Caenorhabditis elegans: one gene and its partner. The protein of the gene in region 2 interacts with the protein of the main gene of each other region in a pairwise test. Each region holds a gene or a part of one and is shown on either strand. Other genes may lie near its edges. The genes, in order: end-3 and srv-5.

Region 1 (16,114 bases), on a different chromosome or scaffold from region 2:
CGAAGATAACCACGGCCTATCAATTTTCATTCTGCACATCAGCGAAAACTCAGGCAGCATTAGAAAAATGTCTCAATGCTTTTGATGGCGTTGCTGCTTTCAAAAATTCAACAAGTCTACAAAACCCGAAAAAAATTGAACGAATGAATGGATATTGTTCCACAATAGAGGTTGGTGAATCAAATCAATTTTTTCTACCCAAATTTTAGTTTTAGGCAAATTTTCCAGTACTCAAAAGATGTATGGACTACGATGCGAAATCCGTTGAGAAGTTACTATCCTTTTGCAGTTTTTACCAATTTTTTGCAAGCAAAATCTTCTGGAGATGTGCTCTAAAAATGAAGGACCAATATGGAAAATGCTTCAAAAAGTCAATGGAAACAGTTCTCGATGTTAATGTGAGTTTGAAAGATGTTGAAAAATAAAACAAAATAAAAAATGAAACACCATATGAAAACAATTTGAACAGTTTATTAAGTTTGAAAGAAATTTAAGTTTTTAATTTTTTATCTCCAATAAACATTAAGTATTCTCGAATTCAACAAACTTGATAAATATTTTTTAGAGTTTTCTGTGAAAAAAATTATTTTGTGATACATTTCCCTCTAATAAAAAATATCAAAAATATCAAAAAATAAAACAAATTGTTGCAAAAATGATAAAAACGAAAGTGAGTCACGGGAAAATAAGTGTGGTTCAGTCAAATTCAGATGCAATTCAAATGAGGAAATTAGAAAGAATTGTAGAATTTCAAAAAAAGTAATATTTGGCAAATTTATTGAGTTTTTTGTCTGTTTGTGGTAAATTGATATTTGGGATCAGGTTGAGCCTTCAAAACTTTCTCAAATCTTTCAGATAGAATCTTTCATGAGTTGAAATGCTCAAAACTTCAATCTGTGAGCAGTTGCTCGATGGAAGAAGTTCGGAACACGTGCAATATGAGGGCTTATCAGCGATATCACATGTTTTTGAATTCTCGACTTCAAGCATGGATATGTTAATAAATTATTTTTTCAAGTACAAGCTAAACTCAAAACTATACATTTTAATTGAAGGTTCAGTATCAAGTTTCTAATTTCTAAAAAAACAGTGGTCGCCAGATTACTTTTTATACTAGAGACGTTTGTAGTTCTATATTTCAGATTTAGTTATTAAATTCGTTAATTTTGTGTTACTATCTATACGTGACTACATATAAAATATTCATTTGTTCTTCTTTTATAAAAGTAAAAAGGTATTTTTTGAGCTCTCAAATTCTTTAATTGATTATACAACTTTCAAAAATTAAAGCAGGAATCACATTATAATTTTTGGGATTCCCCGATATCTAAATGGTTGTTTTGCGGATATTGACTTTCCTTTCAGATGACTCGGTGGCACTGCTTTTACAAATCGATTTTTCTGGAAAATTTTGAATTATTTAGCCTATAAAATCCACAAAACTTACATCATCCGGATGGCACCTCCTGAATTTAAGACCATAGTTGATAGTAGGTGGAGGAATTGTTGGATAACGTGGGTCTTGATGTACTCTGAAAAATTTTAAATGGTTGTGTAATGAGTGTCAGAGCTCACCGAATTTTTCTGGAGTGATGTCTTGGACGATATGCAATGTTTCTGGGTTTTTGATGGTGCTTTATACTATTAAAGTTTCTTAATACAGTAACATCCTCGTTATTTTGAGTATTTCGAGAAGTTGAAGTATTTCTTTGCTTTCTCATTTTTCTTCTAACTATTCGCTTTGGCTGTTTCTTCACTTTTCTTTTCTTCTTATGTGTTTCCGTTGTGTAAATTGGACCAGGTAGAATAATCGGTGATTCAACTTCCCGAATAGTCATCACTTCGTAATTCATCATTCTATCGTCATCTTGTTCACGAGAATGATTGTCAAATAATCTTGGCTGCTCTGTAATAACATCTTCCTGAAGACGAGCTTCACTAAAGCGCCTTCTGACAGAATCAGGGCTTGTTGGCACAGAGTTGAATGGGGTCCAGTCGTCTGAAATTTTAAAATTGAATCACTTTTACGGGTAAGGCAGGATATCACGATAGTGTCTAAAAGGAGGAAGAATTTTTTCTTGTTTTCTGCCTGGAATTGTTTCAGGATTAAAATAGCAAGCCTCGAAGTTTGCCCGCTGGCCCGAAATAGCCTATTCATCAGTCAGCCGCAGAAGGGTTGTTTTTGGGGACCCCGCTTTACCGGTGTAGTATTATTTGACATTGGTAATTTTTTAATTACGGTTAAACATAAGTTAAACAATAAAATTACAAACCTGCACAAAGAGTTCCTGGGCCACATAATGTTTCATCAATATCACTTCCCCAGGCGCTATGTCTATCTTCTGAAATCTCAGTTTTCTTTTCTAAATTAAATAATATTTCAAACCTTCTACATGTTCTGGAGCGGTTCTGGAACTTTTTTGTCCCATAGAGAATACAAAAAGAGACGAAAATGGTTCAGTGGAACGAAACAAACGTGGGATGTAACCATGGAAGTGAGAATAATTGATGGAATAGCTAATGAGCTGAAGCTGAGTAGATCAGAGACTACTTTATTCTAAAAAGTACAGTAGTTGGAAAATTACATGTTTCATTTCTAATTTTCAAGGAAAAGCTAGTAATTACCGTAATCTTGTTTGTACCTGAAATTTTATGTACTGCAGGTGACCAAGTATGTTTGAGGCATGACTTCACACACCTAACTGATAAAGGCCTCTATCACAAACTAGAGTTGTGACGGAAAATTCAACTTCTCAGAATATAGCTCAAAATCTATCAAATTTTATTTTCAAAAATCCAAATAATTGTGCACGCAATGTACTTACTGCTTCATAAAGTTCAGAAGAATTGGATAAATTTGAATGAAGTTTTCAAAGCTTTTATCAGTGACTGTACATTGTGATAGGCTTGTGCTGTTATCAGCTGCCTCAAATAGGTTGTCGCTTGAAAATTTATATAAAAGGCCTACCAGCAGACATGAGAATCAAGCTTCAAAGGCTCTACTCAAAAATGGTCTGCAAGTGTGGTAAGTTGAAATTTCATTACGCTTTTAATTAATTTTGAATGAAACCCCCTTTCCCAGACTGCAAAAACCAAAATTGTTCCTGCAACACCGGAACTAAAGATTGCGATTGCTCCGACGCCAAGTGCTGTGAGCAATACTGCTGCCCAACTGCCAGTGAGAAGAAATGCTGCAAATCTGGATGTGCCGGAGGATGCAAGTGTGCCAACTGCGAATGTGCTCAGGCTGCTCATTAATTTGAAATTAATACTCTTCCCTTTGAAACAAATTCCTACTAATTGATATTGTTCGAGGTTTTTTCTTGAAAGCTGAAATAAATGTTAAATATTTATTGTAATTTCTTAGATTTTTAAACTGTCTTCCTTGTCAACGACCAGAAGCAAAAATTATGGGAATCGCGATAAAATTCAAGGAAAACTTTTGATCATCACTTTTGATCTTCACACGATTTGTTCCTTTTCAAGTAAAATATAAATCTTTTTCCGAACAGACTGAATCCATTATCAATTTTATAGACAGTGGAAAACATTTATCAAGTTAAGACAATTTTGAAAATTACGAAAAATCATTTGACCCAAATGGGTCAGGTGTTATTTCTTAATTCAAAAGATCTCAGAACCAGGAAAAAACATTTTTGTGTGGTTTGTTTTCAGCTGCTTTTCACTTAATAAATCAATTAATGCATCAACCAAATTGTTAAAAACTACAAATAGTGCGACTGAAAATTTAAAAATTGTGCCCAAACTTTTAATGAGGTTATCAATTTTCAATATCTCGAACATTTGGAAATTTTTGGAATTTTTTTGTTGGAAATTTGCTTAAAGTATTTACTAACTTTTGATCTCATATGTTTGAATGGGTTTAGATGGAAACTACCAAAGAACATGTGCAAAAGATCTCAGACGCGAAAAGCTTATCCTATTGAGTGATCAGTTTTAGAACAGGTGAAAACGTTTCCTAGCTAAATTATGAGCTTTTATCCCTTTTTAATTTCTCTCCGTGATTTACTTTATTACCTCAATACCTCAAAATGTGCACCGAGGATATTAATTTATTTGCGACTGATGAGTTCTATGCTGGAATTCTTCACGTACCTACAGCCATCGAAGTGACCGTTCAATTGTTCGGAGCATATATTATTTTAACTAAAACTCCGCGCAAAATATGTTCTGTAAAGTTCAACATGGTCTTATTGCACATTGTGGGAGCAATCGTCGATTTATATCTAAGCTTTATTGCATCTCCAATGCTAACACTACCTGTCAGTTCAGGATATCCTCTTGGATTCTCTTTAATATTAGGTATTCCAACTGATGTTCAGGTTTATCTTGGATGTGTTTTTGTTGGGGGTTAGTTTATTTTGAATTGGCTAACTAATGGTAATAGTATAATAAATATAAAACGTCTTATTGAAAACAGAAGCTTTATTATGTTTTCAGTTTCGATATGAATTAATCTAATCTCAATAACAAATTATTTGATTCCCAATTTTTTTGTGATGTCTTTGGCTTTTTATTTAAAGAAAACTTCGTGCCAAATTTTGGCAACGCACCTTTGACAACTTTCTGTCCAATTTCGGCAGTTTTCTGTCGAACCTTTGTAACTTCCGAGAGTGAGTAAGTTGTCAAGGTTTGAGAGAAAAATCCCAGAATTTTACAGTAGGTTGTCTAAGTTTGACCAAAAGTTTCCAAAGTTTGGCAGAAGATTGACTAAGTTTGTTGGAAGGTTGGACAGAGAACTGCCAAAGTTTGACAGCAAGTTCCCCAAGTTACGAATTTAATGTTTACTCTAGGGTTTTCAAGCTACTATTCCTTTTTAAATTATTCAATTTGAGAGGAACCGAACAATTCAATATATTTCAGTGATGTGCGTGGCTGTAACCATATTCTTCGAAGATCGCTATCACCGACTAATACATGGGCATACAACAAACGGATCACTGAACTGGAAACGTACCTTATATGTTGTATTAAATTATACTATATCAGTGACGTTTATTATTCCCGCATATTTAAAACTACCGAATCCTGAAGTAGCAAAGCAATATGTGAAAAATGTGAGTTTTCGTTTTTTTTTTGAAAGCTTTAACCAAAAAGTGAATTACAGATAAATCCATGTATTCCAAATGAAGTTCTCAATCGTCGGGAATATTTTGTATTTGCCACTGATAATACAATAGTCAATGCCTGTCTTTTGAGCATGTTCTTCATATGTCTTCCCCAAAAATTGTATTTTCTCGGAGCAATTTTTCGATACTTTTCCCAAACAGTGTCTCTCTCGGCAACTACTGCTCGCTTACAAAAGCAATTCTTCTATTCAATGTGTATTCAAATATTTATTCCAGTTGCATTCATCTCATTACCAGTTTCATATTTTGTCATGGCTTCGGAAAATGATTACTATAATCAAGGTAAAATTAAGCTGAAATTTGAAAAAAAAAATCATTTTTCCAGCTGCCACAAACATTGCGATGATTGCAATTGCATGTCATGGAGTTCTTTCCACTATAGTCATGCTTATTGTTCACACTCCACACAGGAAATCAATTCTTGCAACACTACATTTCAAATCTGAACAAGCTGTTCGAAATTCACAATTGATCTGGAAAACTGTAGTATCAAGAGCATGAAGTTTTTTTATTTATTTATTATGGAAACCAGCAGAGGGGAAATAAAACAAATAGTTAAATTATAACCGAAAGGTCATGTTTGATTAGAAAAATAATAATGCTTATTGCACAGAGTTGATCAGTTAAATCAAAAATTAAAAGCATTAGAGTCAACAAGTGGAGCAACTGGACGGCGTCTTCTCTTGGCAGCTGGCTTATTCCAAAGATGTTGTGGTCTTTTATGTCCTTTGACTCGTTCGTAAAGATTACACGGACTGAAAAATATGAGATTTAAAAAACTCAAGTTCAAAACTTTTACACCTAGAGAGCCCTCAAAAAATAGTGAAAAAAATTTCCACCAATTTTTTTTTGAAAATCGTCGATCAAAAAACAGACAATGCTTTGAATTTCTCGATAAGTGGTTAAAAAAAGAGTTTTTACTACTTTTCGACATGAATAAAACATTTCAAAAAGATGATAAAAAGTTTCATTGCGGTATCTGGTAACTTTATCAGCATAGGAATGATTTTTAAACATTTTCTCACTGACTGTAATCGTAATTTAAATAGAACATTCAAAATAATTCAAACTTACTTGCACTCAGTTTCTCCTTGCTCATTTCTCCTCCACAATTTCGTTTCCCGACATCCACAATTGGAGCACGAAGAGTTGATATGCATTGTGGAAATCTTCTTGATTTTATTTTTCGAAGCTTTTCTAGCTGGCTTCCATTCTTGAACTTCTTGAGCTGGAAAAAAGTTGAAGCCCCCGTCAATTGGTATCTCTGGCATGGAATTTTCATTGTTGTCGGGATTGGTGTGGTTGATGGAAGTTTGAGATTGCTGGAGGTCTAAAATAAATTTAAGATTAGGCTGTAAGTTTCATAGTTAATTATACCATTAATAGGCGTCGTGAATTCAAATTGATTTGTAAAATCAAAATTTTGAACTGGAAATTGAAAATCAGGCATCTGTTGATAGTTTTCATCTGAAACATTAATTTTAAATATAAAAGTAAAATAAAATAGTTTTTTAAAACTCACTGTAGTATCCTGCACCATTATCTGGTTGCATAAAATTCTGTTGCATTGAATTGTCATAGCCTCCATTGTATGAATTTGTCGTCATATCTTGTGCCGGATAATGATGATAATTCATATTCTGGAGGACATCTGGAGATGGTGTCCCGTAGCCTTCTTCATTGAATTGGACTTGTTCGGGAAACTGAGGGAATCCAAAATCAAAAGACATTGGTGAGTTGGAAGATGAAGATGATGAAGAGAATGAGTTCGAGTACATGTTTATACTTTGAATGAGAATGCCTATTCATTTATCTTGGAGCAAATCATGGTAAGAAGAGGGCGTGCCTCAGCGTTCCGTATACTTTTCAGCAACCGCCTTTTTCTAGAAGAGACACAAGGCGGGGTGTGCTTTGAACGTGGTATACTTTCAGCTATTCATCTAACCGATTATACAATCAGTGTATACTCTTTTGTCGGAGCCATCGGAACACTTGGAACATACTTGTTTGGTATACTTTTACTTCTTTTTTAATTTACCGTGGGCTCTCTCAAATAGAAGTGCATCTCGGATTTAAACTAAAAGTATTTGTTTCATAAATTTTACTTCAATAAAATTTCCATTTTAAACACAAATTATCATTCGGAAAGAAGTTTTTCACGTGCGAGAGTGAAAGAGTAGAGAGAAAAAGAGGGAATTTGAAACACGTGAAATTTAGAGAGGTTCTGATAGGGGAACAATTAAATTAAAATACACGTTTGCATTTTAAAAGATCACATGAATAATACCATAACACGTTGCTCTTGTTTTTTATTTTTCCAAAAACTCGATTCTCTCCAAATCCAATCATTCACAATTTTAACGGAACAAAATTTTTTGTAATTGCTGAAAGAGAAAACTGATCCAAATTAATTGAATATTTATTAGATAAAGTTGTGTAAAGCTCGACATGCTTGTATTTTCTTCTTCTTTTTCTGTTCAATTCTCAACCAACAAATATTTTTGGTAGTTGAGAAATCTGCGTCAAATTACCGCTATTCCCGTAGATCTACGAAGATCAAACCGATATGGGACACTCTGACACCACGTGGGATATACTGTAGAAACTGCAAAAATTAATTGGCGACAGTACTATTTAAAGGAACACACGCCTTTGCGCGAAATATTTTTTGTTCGCGTCGAGACCTACACAGTGAGTCTCACCTTTGAGCCAAAAGATGCATTTCTCAAAATTAGGTAAAAAATGTTTGAAAAGTCCAAATTTCGTTTCAGTCAAAAGTTTGCAAAACTCTTATTTTACTTTGTGAACCCCAGAACACCCATTAACAACAGTTCAAAGCAGGTGAACAATTTCATATATCAAGAAAAAAGAAAAAGTATTCAACATTGTACAAAGAATCAATATTTTAGTAGGACTGAAGTTGGCGAAGTGAAATGAATAAAAGTTTTGACACGGATATGAACTAGAACAAGGTTGAAGAGAAATGCAAATTGTACAGAAAATATGAGAAGGGAAATAAATATACACTAAATTGGATGCTATGAGACGGTGCAGTTGGAATTGGAATTTCTTGTTTGATGCGGCGGTGCAACTCGATTGTATTCTTCTTGTTGTAGAGAACGAGCCAGAGCTTCATCTCCCTGGAAACATTTGTGATTTAGTTAGTTGTTTTTTTGAAAATAGATACAAACCTCTGTTCTTGCTTGTGCGGAACATGGATTCATTCGGGAACGCGCGATTGATGTGATTCTGGAAAAATACCTTGAAATTCGATTTATTCAAAACAATAAACTTACGAATCCGTCCAGCTCTTTTTCTGATTTATCTTCATTTCGCCAACTTTTCGCTCACAACTGTGATCCCGCTCGTGTCTGTGAGAAAGGCAGTAGTTGTTTCGACATTTTGAGCAATTCATGGCTACCAGCTCTTTCTTCTTGCATTTTGGGACGGTACACGCGTTTGAATATACTTTTGCACGTTTCGGAGTCTGACAATTGTTCTGAATGTGCTCATTGACCTGAAAAAGAAACAATTTTTATCAATATTTTTGCAGGAATAATTTCAAAATAATTACTTGTTGATCAACATTGACATCTTTCGGCGTTGGAACTGGCTTCTCACATATAGGACAAATAGGAACTTGAACGGACTGAAATTTAATAATTTTAATCTAAAAAAAGATTTTCAAACACTTACAATTCTTGAGCCAGTCGGACAATTATGAGCCTCAAATGTGAAGTGCTCTGAGCAGTAGAAATGTCCACAACCGGAGCATTTGATTGGAAGAAAATCTGAAATAATTATTTTTTTATTTAATTAATTTTTTTTAAATGTTGACTTACCAAGTCTGTTGCAAACTGTGCTCTCACAGTGCTTTCCGAGATTTGGGAACTCCGCCATAGCTGAATAAAGCAAACGATATTGATAGGAAACGAGAGAATATAGACTTTTAAACACAAGAAATGATGACAATTGGAAAAATTCTAGAATTTACCAGAAATGCCAGACATCGGGTTACGAAATTATTGATTTTTATATATTATTGAAAGCTTTTGGACTTTTTAGAACGAGAAAAAATTGAATAATTCAATTTCAAGATTTTTGAAATCAATATCAGCTGATTCGCTAGAAAACGTGACGCTTTCAGTATTTCGTGACGTCACTGCGTACAGCTGGATTAAAGGCGCATGACATTAAACGTGCGGTGGGTCTCACAGCGAAACCGCTTTGCACCTCCTTCTCCCGCTTTTTTTGATTTTCGTCTCTCGCATTTGTCCCAAAACCTTTCATCTTTTTCTGTTTTTTCTTTCTAAATTCGATTTTTCGAACGATTTAAAAGTTGTTTTTCCCATTATTTTTCCCCCTTCTTGCACGGTGTGACGCAAAATACTCACTTGGTTATTTTGGCCCCACTTGTGTTTTATAGGGTAAAACAACCGAATTTCGTCGAAAATTTGGGTCTCTTCAATCCGTCCGTTCTCGTTTGCTACTCGTTTTCTCAGCGCTGCGAATCAATTTAAAACTTGTAATTCGTCAGCGCGTGCTTCTGTATCAAAGGAAGACGAGCCAAACGAGAGGTCTACTAATCGAAGTCGATATTTATTTTCGCAGCAGCCGTTGCACGACCAGAAGTTCGCATTTCAAACTCATATAAAAAAGACAATGGGAGACAGAGGATAGTAAGTTGACTTATCGATTATTGACGTGCATAATTGTTTTTCTTTTTCAGCGGAGGTTCTAGAAGCTATGGAGGAAGCAGCGGTGGTGGATCCCGCGGAGGATATGGAGGTGGAGGCCGTGGTGGCGGCGGCGGAGGATACAGCGGTGGTCGTGGTGGTGGATATGGAGGAGGTGGCGGTGGAGGCTACGGAGGAGGTGGTTATGGCGGCGGTGGCCGTGGAGGAGGTCGTGGAGGATCCAATGGTTCAGCTGGAGGACGCCTTCGCGATGTCGACTGGTCTGCCGAGAACCTTACTCCGATTGAGAAGGATTTCTATCACGAGAATGCAGCCGTATCCCGCCGTGAGCAGTATGAGATTGATCAATGGGTATCAGCAAATCAAGTTACTCTCGAAGGCCGTGGTGTCCCACGCCCGGTTTTCGAATTCAACGAGGCACCATTGCCAGGACAGATTCACGAGCTTTTGTACGGAAAGTTCCAGAAACCAACAGTTATTCAGTCAATCTCCTGGCCGATTGCCATGAGCGGACGTGATATTATCTCTATCGCCAAAACTGGTTCCGGAAAAACACTTGCCTTCATGCTCCCAGCTCTCGTCCACATCACAAAACAGGCTCACCGTCAACGCGGAGAAGGACCAGCCGTTCTTGTTTTGCTTCCAACTCGTGAATTGGCTCAACAAGTTCAAGAAGTATCAATCGATTTCTGCCACTCGTTAGGACTCAAGATGACCTGTCTCTTCGGAGGAGCATCCAAAGGACCACAAGCTCGTGATCTCGAGCGTGGAGTTGATATCGTTGTTGCCACTCCGGGACGTCTTCTCGATTTCCTTGATAACGGAACTACCAACATGAAGAAGTGCTCTTACTTGGTTCTTGATGAAGCCGATCGTATGCTTGATATGGGTTTCGAACCACAAATCAAGAAAATCATCGGACAGATTCGCGTAAGTTGAATCTGTTGTAATTGTGTTTTAATATATATTTTTTCAGCCAGACAGACAAACACTCATGTTCTCCGCCACATGGCCAAAGGAAGTTCGTGCGTTGGCTTCAGATTTCCAGAAAGACGCTGCTTTCCTCAACGTCGGATCCCTTGAGCTCGCTGCCAATCACAACATCACACAAGTCGTCGATATTCTCGAAGAACATGCAAAGCAAGCCAAACTCATGGAGCTCCTCAATCATATCATGAATCAAAAGGAATGCAAAACCATTATTTTTGTTGAGACAAAGCGGAAAGCCGATGAATTGACTCGTGCTATGCGTCGCGATGGATGGCCAACTCTCTGTATTCACGGTGACAAAAACCAAGGAGAAAGAGACTGGGTTCTTCAAGGTTAGTTAAAGTTACCAATTATTTTGTTATAAATACATTTTTCAGAATTCAAAGCAGGAAAAACACCAATCATGTTGGCCACCGATGTTGCCGCGCGTGGATTGGGTTAGTTTGTCGCGCCAACCTAGAAAGGGTCAAATTTTAGATGTCACATATTAGAAAAGTCGGTTTCAGGAGTTTCTGGCTTCCAGTTTTCTTGACAATCGTTACAATAGCATGGTATTCAGCCATATTTGTGATTTATTTGACCCTTTACAGTTACACCAACTTGATTTGGCCGAGAGGATTGATCGAAATGCAATGCAGTTGATTTTGGCAGCGTCTTGTGACGTTATCATATCATACGTTGCAGATGTGTAGTGGCAGAGAGTACCTTCTGGTGCTCTGTGAATGAAATCTACACATCGAGTCGAAGAAAGCGGTTCAGTTTCGCAAGCCGCCAGTATTGCAGTCATATACATTGAGTGCTGTTGTGGCTTGTGCAGGCTGTTCCGATGACTCATCAGTGACTCCGTCGAATTTTTCTCCTCTTCCCCATTCCCATCTTTAGAATTCTGGGTTCAGGTGCGTAAGTACGTATAGCTTAGTCAGAGTTGTATCGGCGGTCTCCCTGTGGTGATTGCTCTCAACCTGGTGAACTAGGTTTTATACGCATCTGGAACCTGTTAATAATTAAAAAATTATTGGAATGGATTTATTTCCCGGCTTATCCGGAGAGAGGAGTTTAAATGGCAATTCACTGTTTCGGTTCACTCGTGTTTATTCTTCTTGGTTCACCTGGTTGAGAGAAAGCGTCGTTCACGCTTTTTGCTCTAATTTGTTTTACAGTAATTTTAATTTAACAATTTTAGATGTCGATGATATCAAATTCGTGATCAACTATGATTATCCAAACAACTCTGAAGACTATGTTCACAGAATCGGTCGTACTGGTCGTAGTGACAAAAAGGTAAATTAGTAGAGAAAATTCAATATTTCATGATTTGTTTTTCAGGGAACCGCCTACACTTTCTTCACTCATACAAACGCTTCCAAGGCAAAGGATCTGTTGAAGGTTCTCGATGAGGCTAAGCAGACTGTTCCACAAGCTCTTCGTGATATGGCAAACCGCAGTTACGGAGGTAGCAACTCAAGGGGTCGCTATGGAGGTGGTGGTTTCCAGAAGAGAGGATACGGAGGAAACGATAACTTTGCTCCAAAGAGGCCACGGTACGTGTTTTTGTGATTAGAAATAAAAAAGTGGAATATGATAACGGATTTTTGAAATCGCACCTAATTTCGAATAAAATTAAATCCTGTAATTTTCAGATATGACAACGGAGGATACGGTGGAGGCAGCGGTGGAGGTGGCCGATGGTAGACGATCTACATATCTTCTCACTCACTTCCGACATTTAAACGATAATTCAGATCTCGTTCGTTCGGTTTTAATGGAACTCTGAACTTCTCCTCATTTTTATTCTTTTTTACTTTTTACTTTCTTACTCTTTGTTTTTTTGAGCGTTGTGCCCATATTTTATTTTTGTTTTAATCAGTAACTGTCATCTCCCTCCAAACTTTTAATAATATCCATCTAGTTTTATCATTGCGTTTTGTGTAACTCGGCTGCAATGGAAACAGTTTTGTTTCAAAGATTGTTTCTTTAATATAAGATCTTTTGAAGAAAATAAATATTGATGTTGATGGAAAAAATTGAAATATATTTTTGTGTTTTGGCTGTTGTCCCCCACTTTTCCTGTTTGCTCTTTGTCTTTTCCTATTGTTGGCACGCGGATTTCTTGTTTTTCATTTTTGTATCCTTAAAACGACACAGGCTCTTCAGGTTCTGTGTTCGTCAGTTCTTGTAGGCATTGAAATTCTTCTTCTCGAGACCTTCTTTTCTATTAATTCAGTCTATTCTATTGCAATCGATATGTGAAAAGTGAGAGATAGATGGGCGGCATTGAAGTACAGTTTTCTCGTTGGCGGGGCGCCACAGACAATTGATCTTTTGTAGAGACGATTGCGTCAGTTTTTAGGCCAATCGCATTTTTTTCCTTGCAAACTTGAACAAAAAACTGACATGATCGTTTCGAGACCCAATGGCAATTGACAGATGTGTACCGGAAGTGGAAGCTTTTTGTTCTCGAACATGGTGAGCAAACAACTCTTTTTGCAGTAGAGCTTGTATATTATATGTTTATAAACTAAGTTTTTCATTAATATAAAGCTAAAAGTATTTAGAGAATTTATTTCAAAATATTTCTGTAATTTTAAAAATATAATGGCCCTAGAGCCACTTTTCCATAAAATCGTATTTCTGGTGGCCACTTTTCCATTTAAAAAAATTGAAAAAAAAATCATTAGAAATTAGAAAAATGTTATAAATTTTTTCTAGTATCTACAGTGCTCCACATAATGATACGGCCACCCCCAAATTTTGGTATAACTCAAAACTGGGTTGAGATAGCAAAACATAGTTTCTTGTGAAAATGTTCGCTGTACTAACTTACTTTCAGATAAGTATTGGAAATATACCTGAACCGTTCGTAAAAAAGATAAACCATTTTTTCATGAAAAACCATATTAAAAAATCCACAAAATGAAACGGCCACCTTTGGTTTTTGTTTTCTTTTTTCGTTTTCTTTGCAATTTTTTTTGCTAAACGTTAAGTTTCATGTTCGTTTGTGTTTTTACAGCTATGGGTCGTGGAATAACTTCAACTGACTACGAAAAAGGACAAATTGTGCCAAATTATCTCAAGGCTTCTCGAATCGTCATATTTTTCGTGATTTGAAACGTTTGAGAGATATGATCACTCGATATACTTCCAATCCTGCCGCTTATTGCACGAAAAAGTCTTCTGGTCGCACACCTTTTCTTTCTGTCAGACCCAAGCGAAAAATCGTTCGTCGAGCATCCAATTGAACAGTGACTTGCTTGAAAAGTAGGAGCGAGATGAATCTGGCAGTGTCTGTTGAGGCCGTACGACATGTTCTTTTGAAGTCTCAGTTTAACAAAAGACGAAAATTAAGAAAGGCTCCATTCATTACCAAAAAAACCGCCAAAACCGTATTCAGTTTGCTAAAATCAGCAAGAGAACTAACTGAAGACAAGTGAGGATTACGGTATAATCATTCAAGCCCAGTTTTTGGTTTCAGTTCATCTTTTCTTTTCTCAAATCGTGCCACTAATCACGGTAGTAATCTGGTTCATCACAGTTAAACTTTTCTCGTCACTGAAGAGCACTGTAGTGAAAAAAGCACACACTTTGCACACCTGTGAATTCTTTTCTGCGGAATTAGTCCAATGAATCTCTCTCCATCTGCGTATCTCATTGTCTTCCATAATCCCTCATTTCTTTCCCATTCAATTCCACTCACACTAAAATAAGTGAGAGACATAGAAGCTGAAAATGTCTAGTGTCCGCGCATTCTCTCCGCGGCGGCGGCCTGAAGCCGTCTAAGCGGAATAGGAGAGAGAGAGAGAAATAGAGAAAAAGTGAATAGAAGGGAGCCGGGTCCCCTCTCTCATTCGTGTCCTCAGTCTTCTTCTTCTATTTGGCAGAATGCCAATACTAACGGAGGCCGAAGACTTTTTTTCTGTGTTTTCCCCTTCCTCCTCGTTTTTCTCATCACTCTGGAAAATTGTCTTGTTTTCTTTTTTTTTTTTTCTCCAGACCACTCACATTTATACAGCTAATTACTGGTTTTATAGTGCCTGAAATTATGTTTCACCTGTCGATTACTGAATTTTTGAGCTTTTGATCATAAAAAATAACTCTGGTTCTTTTGATTTCAAATCAGAATTGCATTCTATAGAAATTTATTTATTACACAACCGTAAACATGGATCACTTTACAGACCAGAAAATAGATTTGAAATTGCAAAAAAACAACTATCTCTATTAATTTCCTATTATTCAGGTGCGACATTTTGCGATTTTTGGTCCAAGAATACGATGCCCGGTATCTATGCGCTTTTTTTTTGTAAAATACAAACGAATGTGCGTCTTCAAAGAGTACTGTAATTTGAAATATGCGTTGCTGTGGAATATTTATCGACTTTTCATAGTTTTTCGATAACGATGTATTTATTTGAAAAATTTACTTAAAAAATTAAAGTACTATTTTTTGGCAGCAACGAAAGTTTGAACTTACAGTACTCCTTAAAGGCGCACATCCTTTTTCATTTAACAAAAGTTTGTCGTGTCGAGACCGAGTACCTGTATTTTTGGCAAAAAATCGAAACATTTCTTCTACCTTTTTCAAAAAAAAATGTTTCTATTCGTATTTTCCAAAATTTCGACATATAGTACTTTTCTCTTCAAATCCGTCGCTTTTTGTTCATTTTCTCTTTCGTTTTCACCGTAAAGCTTCCAAAATGTTTCACGTTTTACAGGTTATGCAAACTGGAGTCAATTGCCAGTCGGAGGAGTACTGAATTGATGATTCCGAATGAAATGTTAGTTTTTTCTTTTGAAAAACTGCCGAAAATGTTTATTTTCAAGATTTTTCTAATTTTTAGCATTTTAAAATAATAAAAAATATAAATGTCTGTATTTTCAGATGTCACTCCTGCCGTTAAACACCTTATCAGAGGCGGGCTGCCTATTCATCGAAGCCCGTCTTCTCGGTGGTCCAGGCAACATCATATCACAGATTGGGCTCACAGTTGATGCTCCAAACACTTCTATAGCGGTTTTCTGTAAGTTTTTTCTTTCTTTTTCCATCAAAATCTTCTTGAAACTGGAAACTAACTTTCTCCCATCCACGAATGGGGTCAATGGAAATGAGAAATCGAATAAAAGAGAAACAATACTAGTTTCTTATGTCTTTTCATGCCTTTTCTGCGCAAGAAGAAGAAGCCATGAGGTGTCGGGTTTCACACGAAAAAGATAGGTCGACGAGCTTTTTTTGTTGGTTTCTTTTTTGGGATAAAGCAGAAATCGAAACTTCTATGCAGA
Region 2 (16,815 bases):
ATCTCAAGCTTCAAACATAGACGAGAGTTAAAAATTTTGTTAAAGTTGAATAGACGACTTTAATACTGCCTGTTTTTCTTCTTCTACTTCTGTTCTACGACGGCGCCAAATTTTTACAAAATGGTCTCTTAGCGCTTTAGCATTATTTTTGAAGATTTGCAGTTTAACATCATTATCACAAATAAATACTCAAAAATCATAACAAAAAATTCAAAATGTTCAAGAAATCTGGACTTTTTGTGAAATTTTAAGTAATGTTGCTGGTTTGAACTTTTACGATGTTCAGATACAAAGGAGCTAAACTTTAGTATAAAAATTGTAAAAAAATTACAAACGGATTTTTTCAACTTTTTAAATGAACACAATAAAAAATGTCCGACATTTTTCAAAAGTTTAACTAGAATGTTTGCTTTTTCTAGCACTATATTCAAGTGCATCCCTCACTTGTGATACTCCAGAAAATCCAAAGCGATAGATACTGGTTTGAACAAAACAAGTCTGAAATAAAATTCTGCCCGAATCGCCTCTAATTCGGAAATTTTTGAATTTGAATATTTAGGATCATAATAAATCCTTTTGATTTTGCCATGTTTTTTATACTGTAAACAGAGCCTTGAAAATTTCATTTAAAAAATCAGTTTATCCCATACTGCTTAAAAAATTAAATTTAAAAAAAAACTAAACTAAACTAATGAAATTATGCAATTATGCAGGCAGCCACTGAAGAATCAGGAAAAAAATCGGGAAAAAAAAGAGAAACACCGTGAAATAAGAAAAAAGATTGCATCCTAGATAAAAAACATGAGAACAAAGTGGTCTTTATTCTTCCAAATATAGAACGAAAGCGAAAATTGTTTGGTCAAGTTGCAGGTGTCGTTTTTGAGACGGCATTCGTTTGTCCGCCACGAGACAGGCTCATTGATGCTTCGTCCAGTTTCAGTGAGCTATAAGTTTAACTTCATTATGACCCCCACGCACACAAAAATCCACTTACTTTCTTATAAGCATCTTCACATCGTATATAAGTTGACGTCTAAGAACAGATGAAGTCACGAGAAGTACCCAAGGATAATGTGAGTACATTAAGTCCACCATGGGATACCTACAAATTATAATTCAGAGTTACAACGATTTTCAACTACCGGGATTAGTGAGACAAGTCACGGTTTTTGTTTTTGGATAAACTCACGAAACATCGTAAACTGAAAATATATTCGTCATTCCACCCAGAGAAATACAAATTTTCAATATTTGCACAGTCAAGTTTAGCATTAGGACACAAAACGATAAAAATGAAGAAATGAATAGGCTTCGTTCTGCAGTTGCGCCTGTTTTCTTGAAGACCTTAAAATTGAATGGTATAGCAGGGATGAACAGTAATTGGAAATTTCGGGCAGTTGCAACAGTTGCCAAATATGAAAAAAAAAAACATTCGATGGTTTTTGAATTTTCAACTTAAAAAGTGAACAATAAAAACAAATTTAAAAGCGCCTAAATTTGCAGAAAATATTACTTTTTTTGGGAAATTTTAGCGCTTGCCGATTTTCGAAAACTTCGATAATCGGCAATTATGAAAAATTGCCGCGCACCTCTGATTTGAAAATCTGAAAATTTTGTACCGTGTTTGAGCTTTTCTTCCAATTCTTTTTAATGAGTATCATTGTTATAATGTAACAAATCATACAAAATGCACAAGTCACCAAACAACACATTCCGTCAATGTAGGCAATTAGCTGAAGTTTGAACAATAATTTTCAACTAATATTTTTTTTTGAATACCGCTGTTGAAACTGCATCGTTATTCAGCCGCATTGCAGTTGGAGTAATGAGAAGGTAAAAGTCAAAATTGGGCCACGCATGTGTTGGCAGAAGTCCAAGAATTGGAATAGACCACTGAACAATGGCTATCCGCTGCAATGTTTTTGTACCCCATACCTGAAAGACATAATAAATATTGAAAATTTTGGAATTTCAACAAACCGAAATGTTATCCTTGTCGTATGAAGACACCATCAAAGCGGTGAAAAGTCGATTAACAGCAAAAAACAAATAACCTATGTAGACAACAAGCTGGAAAATGTGCATTTGTTGATTACTTTTATTAGCAAAGTAGCTACGTTAGTTGCTTTTTACATAACTCCGAAATTCAAAAAATTGAACAGAAAAAGTTAAAATTTAGCTATAACCTCCACTTTTACTAGCCTATACTAGATAGCTGAAAGATAATTTTTAATAAATTTATAATTCATTTTGCACATTTTAATCGTTAATTCTACGGGTTGTGTTGGTGTTTGTATAATAGTTTGTTGACTTTCAGGTGCACAAAGCATGACGAATTTTGGTACTTATGAGCTTTAACATACATTTTCTCAAAAAAGCCGGAGTCTCTACGTACAAAAACGTGGAGAACTAGTAAGCTCAATTACCGCATTATTCATAGTTTACTCTTTTTTTGAACTATGTTTTAACGACTTTTAACGACTTCTCAAGGTCTGATTATGAAACTCGGCGGATTTATTTAATTTTTGAAAACGTTTTCCAGATCACTAAAAAATATACCTTAATGTAGTAATGTATGCCAGAAATAATTCGCGGAATAATACCAATAAATACTGTATCTGGCTCAAACAGCATGTAAAAATCTGTATACTTTCGGAACCGCATTGTGATCGAAAATTCGATAAAGAAAACTAATTCAGCGTAAAACTGTAAAGAGTATTTAATAAAAAAGATTTCTAGGAGAAAGTTATTATACCTGCAGCTCAACAAGCTTGAAGAAAGTTCCTCCGAGAAGAGATGTTTTTCTATGTTTTCTAAGTGTTCTCACAATCATTGAATATAAAAGAGCTGAAATCAGGCCTAATATGAAAAGCAACGTTTGCTCCAAAGGCATCGCGAGTCAGACTGGTCAGAGCACATTGAGAGTTGGCGAGTGTCCGTGTCAAACTAAACTGCGCCGACATCTACAATTATGTAACGGCAAATTGTTGATCACTGCTTTCAGAAAAAATAAGTTGGTTAGATATATTTCTAGTTAGTTCTATGTTGATATTTGTGCACGTGACATTTTTTGAAATGTCAGAGAAACAAATTTCCGGTCAAAATGTAACTTAAAGTTTTCTGTTTCCACATAGGCAGTCAGTGATTACTTTTTTTCATTAGAATCTGATTATATGTAAAACAAAGCAATAAAAATGAAACGGAAAACCAAAGAAAAATAATTATTCACTCAAGATGGGATTGTTTCGGACCAATTGGTGGGAATAGCTTTCCTTGCTCTCCGAGCCGGAGGAACGCTTGACGAATATGATGCGGCTGTAGTGGATTGCTAGCTTCTTCCTCATTTATGTCACGAATATCCAATGCTTCTTCGACAACTTCACCGACGAACACCTTAGCCAATCCTGCGATAGCGATGACCACACTCTGTCCAACGTTCACTCCTCCAGTGTACTGACTGATCAAACGGCGAATAGTCGACTTTTGGAATGAAGAGCTGAAGTTCATCATTTATTATTTTTTTGTGTTTTATTACCAATATTACCGTCTGTATGACTCATATCTTTCCAGTTGCTCTTGTGAAAAGTTGGAAAGCAAAACTTGTGTCTTCAATCGCGAAAGCTCATTTTCTTCTTCATCGTCAAGTTTCCGCGCTGGACGAGCTGGTGCTGGACGTGAGGGGCCAGGCCTGAAAAATGAATAAATTAGATAATCGAATGTGCCAGCGTGTTAAAGGAGTTATATTAATTCTGGATTCTACTCATTTATATTTATATACTGCTGCGACACGCAAACGTTGCAAAATTGGAAATGTTGGCTAAAATTAGTGTTTTCTCAAGATTGTGAACGGTCAAAAAAATTTGAGGAAGTTTTTGAGAAGTCTCCATACGAAATTTGTCCGTTTGGGTGCTTTTTGTTCTTATATAAACGCATCGATACTTCTTCTATAAAATCTTACGCTTCTTCTTCCGGCTGATGTTGTTGAATCAATGCTTGGTACCTTGCATCGTTTACTTTGCTCAAGTCGAAGCTTTCCAGCGAAATGTTTGTGTCCAGAAGGTCGTCGTCTCCCTGTAATTGAAAAGTGTTTCATCGGCGATTAATATTGGGTAACCAATATATTCAGTCCATTTCTTTTTGAATTAGTTAAGTATCACAGATTTTACGTACCGAAATCTGCCCGCTGGGCCCAGCTTCAGAGTTATCATCATGACGTGGCTGCTTTCTTGGTGGCTCGCTTTTTGAAATTTTATCAATCTACAATTATATTATAATTATACATCGTCGGGAAACAAGAAATGACTCACTTTTCGCTTCTCAGCAGTCTTGGCGGTTTCCGCAGCTCTGTTCGCCTCCGCAACTCTATCAGCTTCAGCTTCTCGAGCAGCTTGCTCTTCTGCAGCAGCGGCCGCGGCAGCAGCGGCATTCCGTTTCATCATCATCTGGTCGATGTCCGGCATATCCATAGAATCCTCTCCGTCGGAAAGTGAAAAGACGACTGGTGCTCTCGGTGTGATCGGAGTTGGTACGGACTCCTGTCCCGGCGAAATTTGGTTTTCGTCAGAGCGCATTCCATCTCTTGAAAAATCCTCATCTCCATCGTCATCGCTGAAAAAATAATATGATATAATTTTAATAATATAAGCAAAGATTACCTGAGCTCCAAATCTGCAAGCACATTGTGAGCGCCTGTTGGTTGTGGCATCACAGTGTCGTCGTCTTCGTCACTGCTCCCACTGCTCTCACTAAGGCCACCAAACAAATCGTTGGCATTCATTTTTATTCTATAAAACAGACAATAAAAAATGGAAAAAAAAAACCGTCGTTATTCGTGAGAAAAATGCAAAACTGTATTAAACCGGGCAAAGAGTGTGTGTTTGAATGTGTGTGCAGTCGAGAGGACGCGGCAATGGAGAATTCTAGGCCAGCGTTGTGTGGAGAGCGCGTCTCAGTGTGTTGGTTGGGAAGACAGAGGTCAGTTTATCGATTGACGAAGGGCACTCGAGACACTGACGATTTGTCTAATTGAGAAACACAATGGTTGGGAGGAATAAGAGGATTAACATTTGGAGATTTTTTGTTTTACCAAACAAATTTCATACTCATTAAATTTTTTTTTAATTGATGAAACTTGAGAATTCGAAAATCCAAAAATATCAACAAAAAAAAATCTGAAAAAGCAGAAATTAGACATTAAGTTCACTGAAAATGTGAGTTCTTGAAACACGTGTACCATGAAAACATTTGAGAATATTTCAAATAGTCTAATCATTCAAATATAGCAGTACTATTTTAAATAAAATTTTGTGAACTTTTGGACCAAAAACTAACTATTTGTTTGTAAATTAGCACACTGATACTTGAAATTAGAATTCCAAATACGGTTTTTGGAGATGCGTGGTGATCTTGCCACATCCGCTGCAATGACAATACATTGCATTCCCATTTGCATTAATTTACTGTGTTTCCCATACATCATTGGGTCTTGATCATGCAACTGCTATATTCATTCACAAAAGCCAAACTGGGTTCACTCTGATAAGTTTACTACAAAACAAGGTAGTAAAAACCGGTGAGTTCAAAACTCTAATGATTTTGCTCAAAATTAGACTTTATTATGAGAAAGTCGCTGTAAAAAAATTTTCACAATGTGAATTTAAATTTCCCATTGTAATTGTTCATGAAATTCTTTGGACCTTCCGTTGTTCCTTAGTAAAAAACATTTTGTTTCCTGAAAAATTCAGCTAAACCCATAATTCAGTTGTAAATTAAATGAGTACACATTCAAATTTTTTATAACAACATTCCAAACAATAGTTAACAGTGACAATGCTGTTTCAAAAGTGCCTAAAACTACACGTAAACCAATTAAGCCAGCGTCCTATTTGTTGTTTTCTGTGTGGCGGGAGATACAGTATGCCCAACCCGTATTGTGTTCACCGATGCATCGTCAAGCTTGAAAGCCCTGAAATTTAAAACATTTTTTGAAAGATGCTACCCTTCACCAGATAAATATTACGTTCGTAGGAAAATTTTTGTATCGTAAATCATTTGCTTCCTCAGAACTCCCGACGTGACTAATAACGCCCATGGAAAATGGGAATACATAAGATCAATCATAGGATATCTGAAAATTATTAAAGTTTCACCAGCTGTTTGGGCACAGCAAAACACTCTTATATATTTAATGTGTTTGTTCTAGAAGGTCGAATGAGATTAATTTTTTTCCAGTTCCTGGTTTGTGATGACAATTTTCTGGAAAAACTATGACTTACGAGAGGTCTTGAACAAAAAGTAATGTTGTCGCACCACCCCAGGATATTAAAATGGTAACAACTTGTACAGCAGTGTTCAATATTAACACGATAAATGATAAAATGGCGGAAACAAGTAGACTTCTTTCTGCAGCAGATTGTGCATTGTTTTTTCGGAATACCTTAAAGTACAGATATTTTTCTAAATGTTTTTAAGGCTGAGATTTTGATTTATGTTAGGACGACAATAGCTGGAAGCACCACCTGGGGAGGCTGTTCCTGACTTTCTGATCCAAAGTGGTAACGGATCGTTCTTTAAAGTTTTACCAAAATAAACTTTGAACTCAACAAACCGTGTCAGTTTTCACACGTTTCCAATTTTTCCGTATCAAGAAACACGTTGCAGTATAGCAAATCATGCAGAAAACACACGTTCCAAGACAACAAATTCCGTCAACGTATGCAACAAGCTGAAATTATAAAGTAATTATTATCTCAAATTCTCAGTAAGCATTATACCGCTGTGGATAAGGAATCATTTGTTAATCGTATAGATGAAGAAGTTATCATAAACCAATAAGTAAAACCCGGCCAAGCATGAGTTGGTAGAATTCCTATTAAAGGCAGTGCCCATTTCACTATTCTGACTCGCTGTAAAAGCTTTGGAGTCCAAATCTGAAAAAAACATTTATTTGTAATGAGTAATTTTGAATTGGTTGAAAAACATGCAAAACCACGTTGAAACTGATAATGACACACGAAGGAAACTCATTGACAGATCAAGAAGACTAGGGCTAAGTATTGAAAGTTAATGTCATACTGAAATATTCACACTGTTATATGATGATATATTGAGTGCGGAAGTGAGTCGATTCAGAGCAAACGTTAGATACCCAATGTATACCACAATCTGAAATAAAATAGAAAAAATAGAAAAATGTAATTTTTGAATTCAACCTTACCTTAATATAATAATGAAATCCAGACACAATACGCGGAATGATACCGTGAAATTCCGTGTCTGGCTCGAAAAATGCATAAAGCGAGCTATATTTTCTGAAGCGCATGGTGATTGAAAATTCGACGAAGAAAAATAGTTCCGCATAATACTGAAAATTAATCTTTTGATATTTCTCCATAATATAATTTTCTTTCTGGTGAAATTTCTGATCAAGTGTGATGTTTACTTATATTTCAAAGATCTACCTGCATTTCCACAATTCTAAAAAAGGAACCGCCAAGTAGAGCATTTGATCGATGACGTTTTAAAGTGAAAACGATCATAGTGTAAATTAAAATTGAAATTAAACTGGAAATGAATAAAAACCATTGCAAAGCCGGCATAATCTGAAATAATATTGAATAGAAAAGTAGTGTTAAGTTTTATGGTGCAGTGAAGTTTCTGGTAATGTTAATACAAATTAAAAAACTATGAAAACTATAACACGAAACTAAATAAGTATGAAAATAGTTAATAAGTGGAAACTGTATAGTTGTTATGTGATTTTTTTTCTTAGAAGGTGATACATTAGTGTGAATTCCCAAGTGACTTGTTATCCCCATATTTTTCATTGCTTTTATTGTTTCCACTTCTATTGGAACACTTGTGAAAAATAATACTTTAAAGAAATATTAGAGAACGGAGTCTGAACACCTGCTCGGACCTATAACTTATAACTATACCGCAACCGTCGTACTGTTTACATTCAATAAACAAAAAAACTTTCCAAAGAAATATGCGGTGGTTTTAAAAAAGGAAAATTTTGCGTGTGCACCTTTAAGTTTCCAGTGATTTCCTCAAGAAGTTATTCTAGTGTTTCTCACCATTTACTTTTCTTGATGAAAAGTATTCTTAGAAAAAAAAAGTAAAACAGGAGAAAATCCTAGTTTCATGCAGGATTTTTCTGAAAGCTTATAGACGCGCACCCAAAATTTTTCTTGTTACTCATTTTGCGTTGGCAGATTCCAGATTTCATGTGAACAAAGAATAATACACAGCTTTTTGAGTGATATTTTGAAAATCTGATGATTTCAAATGATATGAGCAAACAAGATTCGTTTTCCTACATTTACACATACAATTGCTTTACTATTTACAGTATTAACAGTTGCTCTGTATGAACTCTCTTTTTTTAGAAGAATTGTTAAAGTACAATTATGTATTAAAAACTAAACTTTACAAACTTAATATTACTCGAAAATATTATGCTCAGAAATATCAGTTAAACTGAAAAAGTAAGATAAAACAATGTAAACAACAAACTTTATAATTTATTGTTGTGTCGAGTTATGCAGAATACCACGAGGTGGTCATAAAATTGGCTTGCTCGAAAAAGTGCAGGCAAAGGCGGATACTGGAAGCCGTGAAAAAATGAAATCTGTTTTAGACTTGGAACTGATTTTATTATAAGTTGCGCGGGTAAGGTATTTTGCGGAATGGAAGTCGTTATCGGTGGCAGTTTAATCATATAATAACGCTTTCTTAATAGTCATTTTTCGCATTTTCTTTCTTATGAAACGCTCATTTTTGATCGCAAAACTTGTTGGTTTCAGAATATGGCATCAACAAGACACGCGATAAAACCTATGCAGAAATTTGTATAAAAGTAGTTTCATTGGTTTTTGTGTAAGAACCGAAATGGAACTGAAAATGAATTTTGTGGAAAAACGTGTGAATTTCAAAAATTCTCTAATTTCAAAAAAAAAGTACAATGAAACAGAAACGTGAAGATGATAAGATCAAGAATATCAAAGTCAGAAAAAGAATTCGAAGTTTATATATGTAGGTGGAGTCACGCATGACATTTCCTAGTTGAAATTTCTTTAAAATTGAGGCTTTGGAAAAGGAAAATTTTAGGTTCCAGAGTTTACGATAAAATCTAGATGTGTTTTGTAAGATTTTTAAAGGTTTTTCAAAGAAATGGCACAATAAATGTAATCAGTATGTTTATTGAAATGAAAGATAGAAAATCATGAGTTGTATTCGTGGAAAATACAATTAAAAGGTATTTTGCTTTCTGCCGTTTACGCATACACAGAGTTTGTTTAGGCAATCGGCTCGATTCCAAGACGACGCCACTTGATCCAATTGAGCCGGGCTAGCAAATCTGAATTTTTGATTTTTTTTCCGGGTTTTGCAAGTTTGTGACTATACCACTTGTACTCCACGCTGGTGCACCGATTTGACCTGTGCGAGCCATATGAACACACTTTTGAATATACTGACCAGAATCTTCGGGTGTTCTGGAATTAAATATTTTTGTGAATTTCAAAAAAAAGGTCCCAAAACACATAACTTCAAAGGTTTTTTATAAATTTTATTTCTACATTTATTGAAAAATTTTACCTTAAGTTCTCGTTTGCAATTATAGTTGACTCTAACATTTTAGTAGAACTACGATAATCCATTTTATAGTAACCCAAAAGATTTTTCAATTCTTATTTATTAATTTTCACTCCGGTTCGAAACATAATAACCTGATTTATTCTGAGAATGAGACTATTTCACTAAGCAATGAAAGTGGCAATAACTTCCTTGTTATTTTAGTCGTACTTGGTGCAATCGCAAAATACGGAAAAAACTGAACACTGAAAACTGTAACAAAAAGTTGAACATTTAGATAATTTCAGAAATACATCAAACCAACCCTTTTTTTTCAAGAAATACATGTGAGATAAAACTCATTGAACATTTATTTTCTAATTTTCTATTTCAAAATTTCCCAAAAAAATTTTTTTTTAGATTAAACTTTTGGAGTAACTAAAAATATTATTAGAAAGAAAAACACTGAAAAATGTTTAATTTTTTTCAATATGCTGTCAAATTTAGGTATCATTTTTTACAGTATTGGATATATAACCAATTTTGTTAAATTATTTCTGAAAACTCATAGACTTTCAAAATCGCGAGTTTTAATCCCTATTATTATAGTTCAACTTTTTACATTTCATCAATAGCATAAGTTTTTTATGAATTTCACGTTTCAACAATTCACGGAACAAAATACAACAAAAAAAGACACCTCAGAACGTCATCCAACATATTGATATATGCAATTGCCAGGTTCAAGGTATCAATTTTAGAGAGCCGTTTTTCATAAGGAAATGTTGGAATATAATTGCGGAGCTCCTGAAAATTAGATTAAAAATAGAAATACCTCAAAAAAAAAAATTTTTTTTTTGAACTTACAATAAATGCCACATTAATACTACACATTCTCTTCCTCTCACGAATTGAAGCAGTTTGTCGCTCCTCGGGCTCCTCGCAGTAATATGAATCATACGATGAATCCATAAAGAAGAGCTTTGAAAGTGAGGAATAAGAGGGACACTGGGAAACTGGTAAACCGCCACACCCAGAAGATGAAGCTGTCATTTACATAAGTGGTTCTGCTCGAATTCACAATTGTAATTGGTCCGTTAGAAAAGAGGCCGGGTGGTGGCAACAGGCTGACGTGTTGCATTTGAAAGACAGAGACGAATGGGTTGAGAGTTATATGTACGAGGAATTTAAATTCGGGCAAAGTAGTATAACATGCATTTTTGAAAACTGACGTTTTTGATTGATGCAGTTAAAAACAAAATGTCACCCAACAGTTTTCTTCACAAAGTTTTCCACTATCATAGATTAAGAAGGGTATTCCTGAATATAAATTAACGCCAGTGATTTGTAAAAATTTGTAATGAGATTTAAAAAAAAACTGAACGTGATTTGTAAAGACCCTTGCTTAAAACCAAAACTTCATTATGTAAAATTAATGTTATCAAGTGTTCAAATCTTCTTATCCTAATTTGTTTCAACAAGATAATTTTTCTTCAATTTCTTGTCACATTCTAAAAACATTCTAAACTGAAGCCTCAATGTAAAACCCAGACACATTTGTTTTATTGTGCGACTACATTGCAAAAATATCGAGAAAAATCGGAACCGGTTCGAATTGTTTTCCACAACATCGCACTTGTGATCAAGTGTTTTCTGGGAAGCAATCTTCGCTCGAACCGAGAGTTGTTGATACACAAGTTTTACAGATAAAAGTTATTACAGGCAAAACACCTTTTTTGACGTTTTCATTGTTTTATTTTGTCCTCAACTTCCATCATTTATCAATACAGTAATATTAAATTGTCCGTTGGAAGAATGTAAACAAAAGATTATTACTATTTATAGAAGTGAGGGGTCTTGACAACATGTCCTCGAATTAACTCCACTGGCCGTTGACAGACGCTGATATTTTCCGCGTTTACTTGAACTGTTTTCTTTTATAAAATGTGACGAATTTTCAGTTTATACTTGGTCTTTTAGAGTCACAAATGATGTTTGTTTATTAGAAAATCGTTTTCGTCGAGAAGGTTCAAAAGATCGGTGGCCAAGATCACGGTCCAAATAGTGACACCTGTTCTCTGCAGGTCAGATGTACGCGTTGTTGTTCACATAGAACATTTCCAGCAAATTTCCACGTTTTTCTAGCATCAATCATGTTTATTGTACCTTCCAAAAGGCGTGAATTGCAAGATGGCAAAAAATTCACTTCTAAATCTGAAAGTTTGTGCATGAAAGTACAGTACTAAATTCAACTGTTCATACAAAACAAAAGTGTCTAAGCTTCTGGGCTCTTGGAAGCGTGGGCGCAAAAAAAGTTATATTCAGAAGATCAGCTTGACCTGAAAACATTAAATCTAAAGTTTTTCGATTATCTTTGTTGGATTTATTCAATTTTTTCTGAGGAACAACTTCAGGTATTTGTGAGAAATGTTTTTCGAAAAGTTGAAAAAAAGACAAAAATATGATATACAAAAGATCTAAGCTTAGACAACTTGAATGCCATGTTGTTGCAAAGTTGCCGTACTTCCTGCAGCCGACAGTTGCCAGGTGCCAAAGGTTTCCGCGTTCGGTAACTTCCAACATCACCAGTTAGTTTATTAACTTAGTTTTTTACAACATTTTCCACTAGCTTTCTGACAACACCCAACGAACACTTTATGGGTCATTTTTCAGTGATAATAAATAATCTTTGGTCGAAAAAACCTGTTCCAATCAGTTGAATAGAAAATTAATCCAAGAATTAATGACATCACAATATTCCTCTGACTATAGTTCAGTTTCCAATTAGTCAATGTGAACATGAACTTATTTTAGATCATTTACTATTGCCTTTCATTGTGCCTTATCAGTTTCCCTTAATAATCTATGATCCCTTCATTTCATTCATTGTTTCCTGCGGACCTTACTTCGGACCTTACTCCCCTCGCAAACTTTCGGTTGTTGCTACGTGGCATGACATCACTTGTCAAAAACAATGACCAAAATTGGAGAACATAATAATAAGAGTACCTGTTCATACTCCCACCAAAGGGGCCGGGTCGCATCTCCACCGCTTCCCCACACTATTTCTTATCTTTCCCATCACCGATCGTATACTTTGTCCTCGCCGTCTTCGCCCCGATAATCGGAGCCGCCACCCCGCCTCTTTGGCGTAGATCGCGTATAAAAGCAGGCTATTGAAGACTGAGCCTCTCATCAGCCACCTGATATTCAGTTTCACAAATACACACAAACAATTTGAAAATGTCGACTCCAAAACTTGTCCGTGTTGCTCAATCTGCAGTTTTCAACCAATTCATGACAAGAGAAGCGTAAGTTTTGGATAGTAAAAATCTTTTTAAAAAACCATTGAAAATTTCAGAATCAGCTCAGCCACCTTCCGCCCAGCAGAGCCAAAAATGATGGACCAGCCAAAAATGAACATCCGAATTCACGATGAATCGACACACTTGAAATTCGGATTCCCAAAAACCGAAAAAGTGTCGAACCCGTAAGTATAGCTGTAGTTTATCAAAAATCCCTAGGTTATTCAGTGTTCCAGAAACAGTGACGACTTCATTCAATTGAACTGCGAAAAGTTGATAAAAGAAGAACAAGACCGACAATGCGCTTTTCTAAAGCTCACAAACCTTCGTTTTTAAATAATTTCTTTTCCCAACTTCTATCATCTACAAGATGTGATTGTAATTAATTAATATATTGTACTAGAGTAGGAACATTTGTACTCTCTTCATTTGAAAACACATTGCTTTACACTTTACACTGTTTCTATTTGTGATTTTTTGCCGATGTACAATTTGAAAATAAACGACTACTTGATGGTGACTGCTGCCGATAAAGACATAAACACATGAAAAAACCTGAAACTATAACAAATGTGTGAAAGTGTTGGATAAAAGTCCATTGAAAATTTATCAGGTTTCATCGGCAACAAAAGGCAACACGTGTGGTGTGTTGTGTTGTTGGCAGCAGGGATTGAAAAGATAAAATTGAGAGAGAAATTCGCAATCTTCCGAAAATACGGGGGACCGGTTGTTGTCTGGATATGAAAGTTTGCAGAATATATTTCGGATGTCATCTGAGAAAAATTTGGAAGATTAACATTTTAACTTGAACCATTTTTCGATAAAATTGTCCAACAAAATGTAGTAACAACAAGTTGGCACCTCAATTTTTGAATGTTTTTTTTAATGCTCGTCGAAAATTTCAGAACTTTGAAAAATGTATATTTTACCTCAAATTAGCAACAAAAATGTTTTATGAGGTACCACTAGCACCTCGAAAATTTCATTCAGAACATTTTTCAGCAACAACATTTTGATATAATATTTTGTAGCGCCAGTGGGAAAATTATTAAAAATCACTTCTATGGTGCCAAAATAAAAATTTCATATTATGTTCCAATAACTGATAATCACTAAGTTTTGCCACTTTTTTGGAAGTCATCGGTCAAGAAAACATTTTCCTTAAAATTTTATGATCAACTTTTGTGTCGAAAATTAATATCAAACCATTGTAAGAATTCAAACATGCGAGAGTGCTTTAGTTTTCTTAAAAATGTCAAGAATACAGTTATCGCTACAATAACTTCCAATAACAATTTTTCAAAAAAAAAATTGAAAAGTTTTAATATAACATTTGATAATTTTGACACCATAAAAGTGGTTTTTGTTAATTTTCCCCTCTGGCACTATTTTTAAATTTTGATTTTTTTACAAACTTTTTAACCAAAATTTTTGTCACGCCTTTGTTTTGCAGTTTTCAGAGTTTATCTTATCCAAATTATCATTTTACGTGCCGTATGTCTTTACTTAACTCTTTTTCTTGTAATATCAACTGTCCATTTTGTTCTTGGAATTTTAATATCAAATGATCAGACTAGGTTTTCAACGAACACTTTTTCCCGCTTATTTCTTATCAGTTTTCAACGAAACGACGTGAAAAAAATAAAACAAAAAGTCACCCCACAAAATGATGCACATTCGGCTCACCATATTTATCTGTTTATTCCCATCACGCGATTCTCCTAACTTGCCATTCAAAAAAAGTCAGCCAAAACAAGTAACCTTCTTGCAGATTCATCTATAATTGTGATAGTTCTTTGTGTCAGCTGTTTGATACTATCTAACTAATTTTAGACACATATGTTTGAGGTGGCAACAAGTGTTATCACCGGGCAACCAGTGTTTCATAAACAACCCTAAAAACGTGTCTGAAATATTGCGAACAAAGGAAATTCAAAATGTTGTTGGTTGTCAATTTAGAGTTTTTCGAGCAGAAAATTGAATAAATGTTCTTTGGTGATAGATATTTCTGAAAAAAACATCAGGATGAAGTGAGGGAAGGGGGAAACAAATGTAGTATACCCAGTGTAATATAATGTTTGAATTGTTTTCTTTTTTGATATTTTTGATTACAATCAACCATCAGCTGCTGCTGCTGCTGTGTTTTTCACTTGTTTGTTCTATTTCTTAAACTGAGAATTGGGATGGTTGATGTTGTGGTTTTTCTTTTGGTGAATGCATGTGTGGTCAAGCAATTTCCTCCAAAATTTATGGACACATTTCAAACAAGGTCGCTTTTTGATTGCGGATAGTCGAATGGATCACGTTGTTGGACTTTGTTCTTTTTTATTCTACAAAGCTACAAAATTTGGTCGATTCAAAGTCACATGGTTCAAAAATCTGACAATACCCACCAGTGCCCTTTTGTCTGATAAGAATACCGGGGTACAACAAAACACTGAAGGGTAGAGAAGCTAATTTTTTCCGCGTGGGTGTAATGAATACGAGAAAAACAAAAAATTGACCGGTACATATAAAATCTGGAAAAGAATAGTACAACATTTGTAATGGAAAATAAAACTTCAGACATAATTTTTAACTATTCAAAACTTTAATCAGAGTATTCTAATGAAAAAGTGAATTTTTTCTTAATTATTTGTTAGTACTTTTGTGGCAAATCATTTTGTTATTCTGGTAAAAATCTGGTAGGACTCTACAGGTAAAAACCTACTTTCTATAGGCGAAATCTGGTCTTCCGACTTTACACAGCTAAATGTTCACATTTCATCCGTGGTAGATCATAATGCATCATATATATCAGATCCCACCTAAGGAGTCAGAAAATGTTCTAGACTCCATAGTTGGAGTCCGATCTTCCACAGCTGATTGATCATAATCCGCTTGTTGTAGATCAAAATCAAGTTACAACATATCTGATTCCAACAATAGAATCCAAAATTCTTATGACCTGCCTCGAACTCCATCGCTGGAATATTATCTGTCATAGATAAAACCTAATCCGATCTGCCACAGTTGATAGATCTGAATTTACCTGTGATGTATTATAATTTATTTATGAAAGATCCTATTCCACTTATAGATTCAGAAAATCCGGAAGATTTAACTTAAACGGCGAAACTCCAAAATTTCCAAAAAATTCCATCTTTTGCAATTCTGATTTTCAGCCAGTGTCTATACATTTATATTTTGTTCAGTTCTGTTTTTGAATCAATCAAATTTTTTGTTCCTCCCTCCGGGTTTCCAGCTTTTTTCTAGATATTTCAAGTTGGAAGCAGCTTGTTTTTGCAGTTTCAGGTTAGTCTTGAAAACAGATAAAATGAACAACAAAAAAAAGAATAAAAGAAACAAGAAAACAATTATTGCAAATTCACAAGTCTTGAACAACAAAAACCAAAAATTCCCGCGCGAGTGTTTTGTTCATCCTCAGAAAGTTCGCATAAATCAAATATTCGGTGACCCTCGGTGGGCTTTGTTTGCAAGCTACAAAAACATTTCTTGAAAAGGAAAATGTGTTACACGACAATTTTTGTCTTTTTTCCTGAACCTTCTTCTTTTTCTTAATTTTTCAGCTAGCAAAGAATCCATGATCGACTCGCCATTGCACATCTGTTTTTTCCGTGTTTAAGACGATTTTTTTGAGAAGAAAAATACTTTGTTTTTTCCTATTGTCAAAGGTTTTCTTGCTGAAAAGCTTTTTGATTATACGAGAGTATTCTACAATTCCAGTTACTCTAGAACTTGTCTCTCATCTTAAAGACATTTTGTCCAGATTGGCTACTACTCAAAGTGACTCGCTGTCCAAAGAAAATGTATGACTTACTTGCTCTATTCGAAAGGATGAGCACAAAAAAGAAAAGGAAACACATTGGACCTTTTTCTGACATTCACGTCAAATGCCGTCTAAATGTCTTTGTGTGTTTTCAAAAAGTTGCGA

What was found.
Region 1: the proteins of srv-5 (region 2) and end-3 interact in a two-hybrid assay, tested with the Caenorhabditis elegans proteins (one large-scale study listed by BioGRID).

Annotation. Positions count from the first base shown.
Region 1 is NC_003283.11:14,005,515-14,021,628, reverse strand, and holds end-3 (GATA-type domain-containing protein), read right to left. Parts: upstream 6,935-16,114; 5' UTR 6,929-6,934; coding exon 6,673-6,928; intron 6,618-6,672; coding exon 6,528-6,617; intron 6,481-6,527; coding exon 6,225-6,480; intron 5,906-6,224; coding exon 5,779-5,905; 3' UTR 5,652-5,778; downstream 1-5,651. Other genes in the region: T08G5.1 (Titin), read right to left, coding at 1,297-1,401, 1,448-1,532, 1,576-1,999, 2,274-2,342, 2,387-2,429; mtl-2 (Metallothionein-2), read left to right, coding at 3,010-3,025, 3,083-3,258; srh-308 (Serpentine Receptor, class H), read left to right, coding at 4,053-4,371, 4,885-5,078, 5,129-5,432, 5,476-5,651; aip-1 (AN1-type domain-containing protein), read right to left, coding at 8,189-8,290, 8,342-8,399, 8,447-8,667, 8,725-8,799, 8,847-8,941, 8,993-9,050; ddx-17 (RNA helicase), read left to right, coding at 9,813-9,829, 9,880-10,777, 10,824-11,169, 11,215-11,274, 12,021-12,118, 12,164-12,378, 12,478-12,529; ric-7 (CRAL-TRIO domain-containing protein), read left to right, coding at 15,717-15,855.
Region 2 is NC_003284.9:4,243,139-4,259,953, reverse strand, and holds srv-5 (Serpentine receptor class gamma), read right to left. Parts: upstream 7,599-16,815; coding exon 7,461-7,598; intron 7,364-7,460; coding exon 7,217-7,363; intron 7,165-7,216; coding exon 7,075-7,164; intron 6,930-7,074; coding exon 6,774-6,929; intron 6,725-6,773; coding exon 6,608-6,724; intron 6,437-6,607; coding exon 6,276-6,436; intron 6,128-6,275; coding exon 6,020-6,127; intron 5,966-6,019; coding exon 5,869-5,965; downstream 1-5,868. Other genes in the region: srv-6 (Serpentine receptor class gamma), read right to left, coding at 860-944, 995-1,102, 1,190-1,344, 1,620-1,733, 1,780-1,935, 1,981-2,070, 2,560-2,706, 2,756-2,893; taf-11.1 (Transcription initiation factor TFIID subunit 11), read right to left, coding at 3,226-3,496, 3,545-3,688, 3,959-4,071, 4,171-4,257, 4,308-4,608, 4,656-4,777; hlh-13 (Helix-loop-helix protein 13), read right to left, coding at 9,300-9,361, 9,409-9,497, 10,277-10,383, 10,444-10,629; F48D6.4 (28S ribosomal protein S36, mitochondrial), read left to right, coding at 12,820-12,887, 12,938-13,066, 13,118-13,217.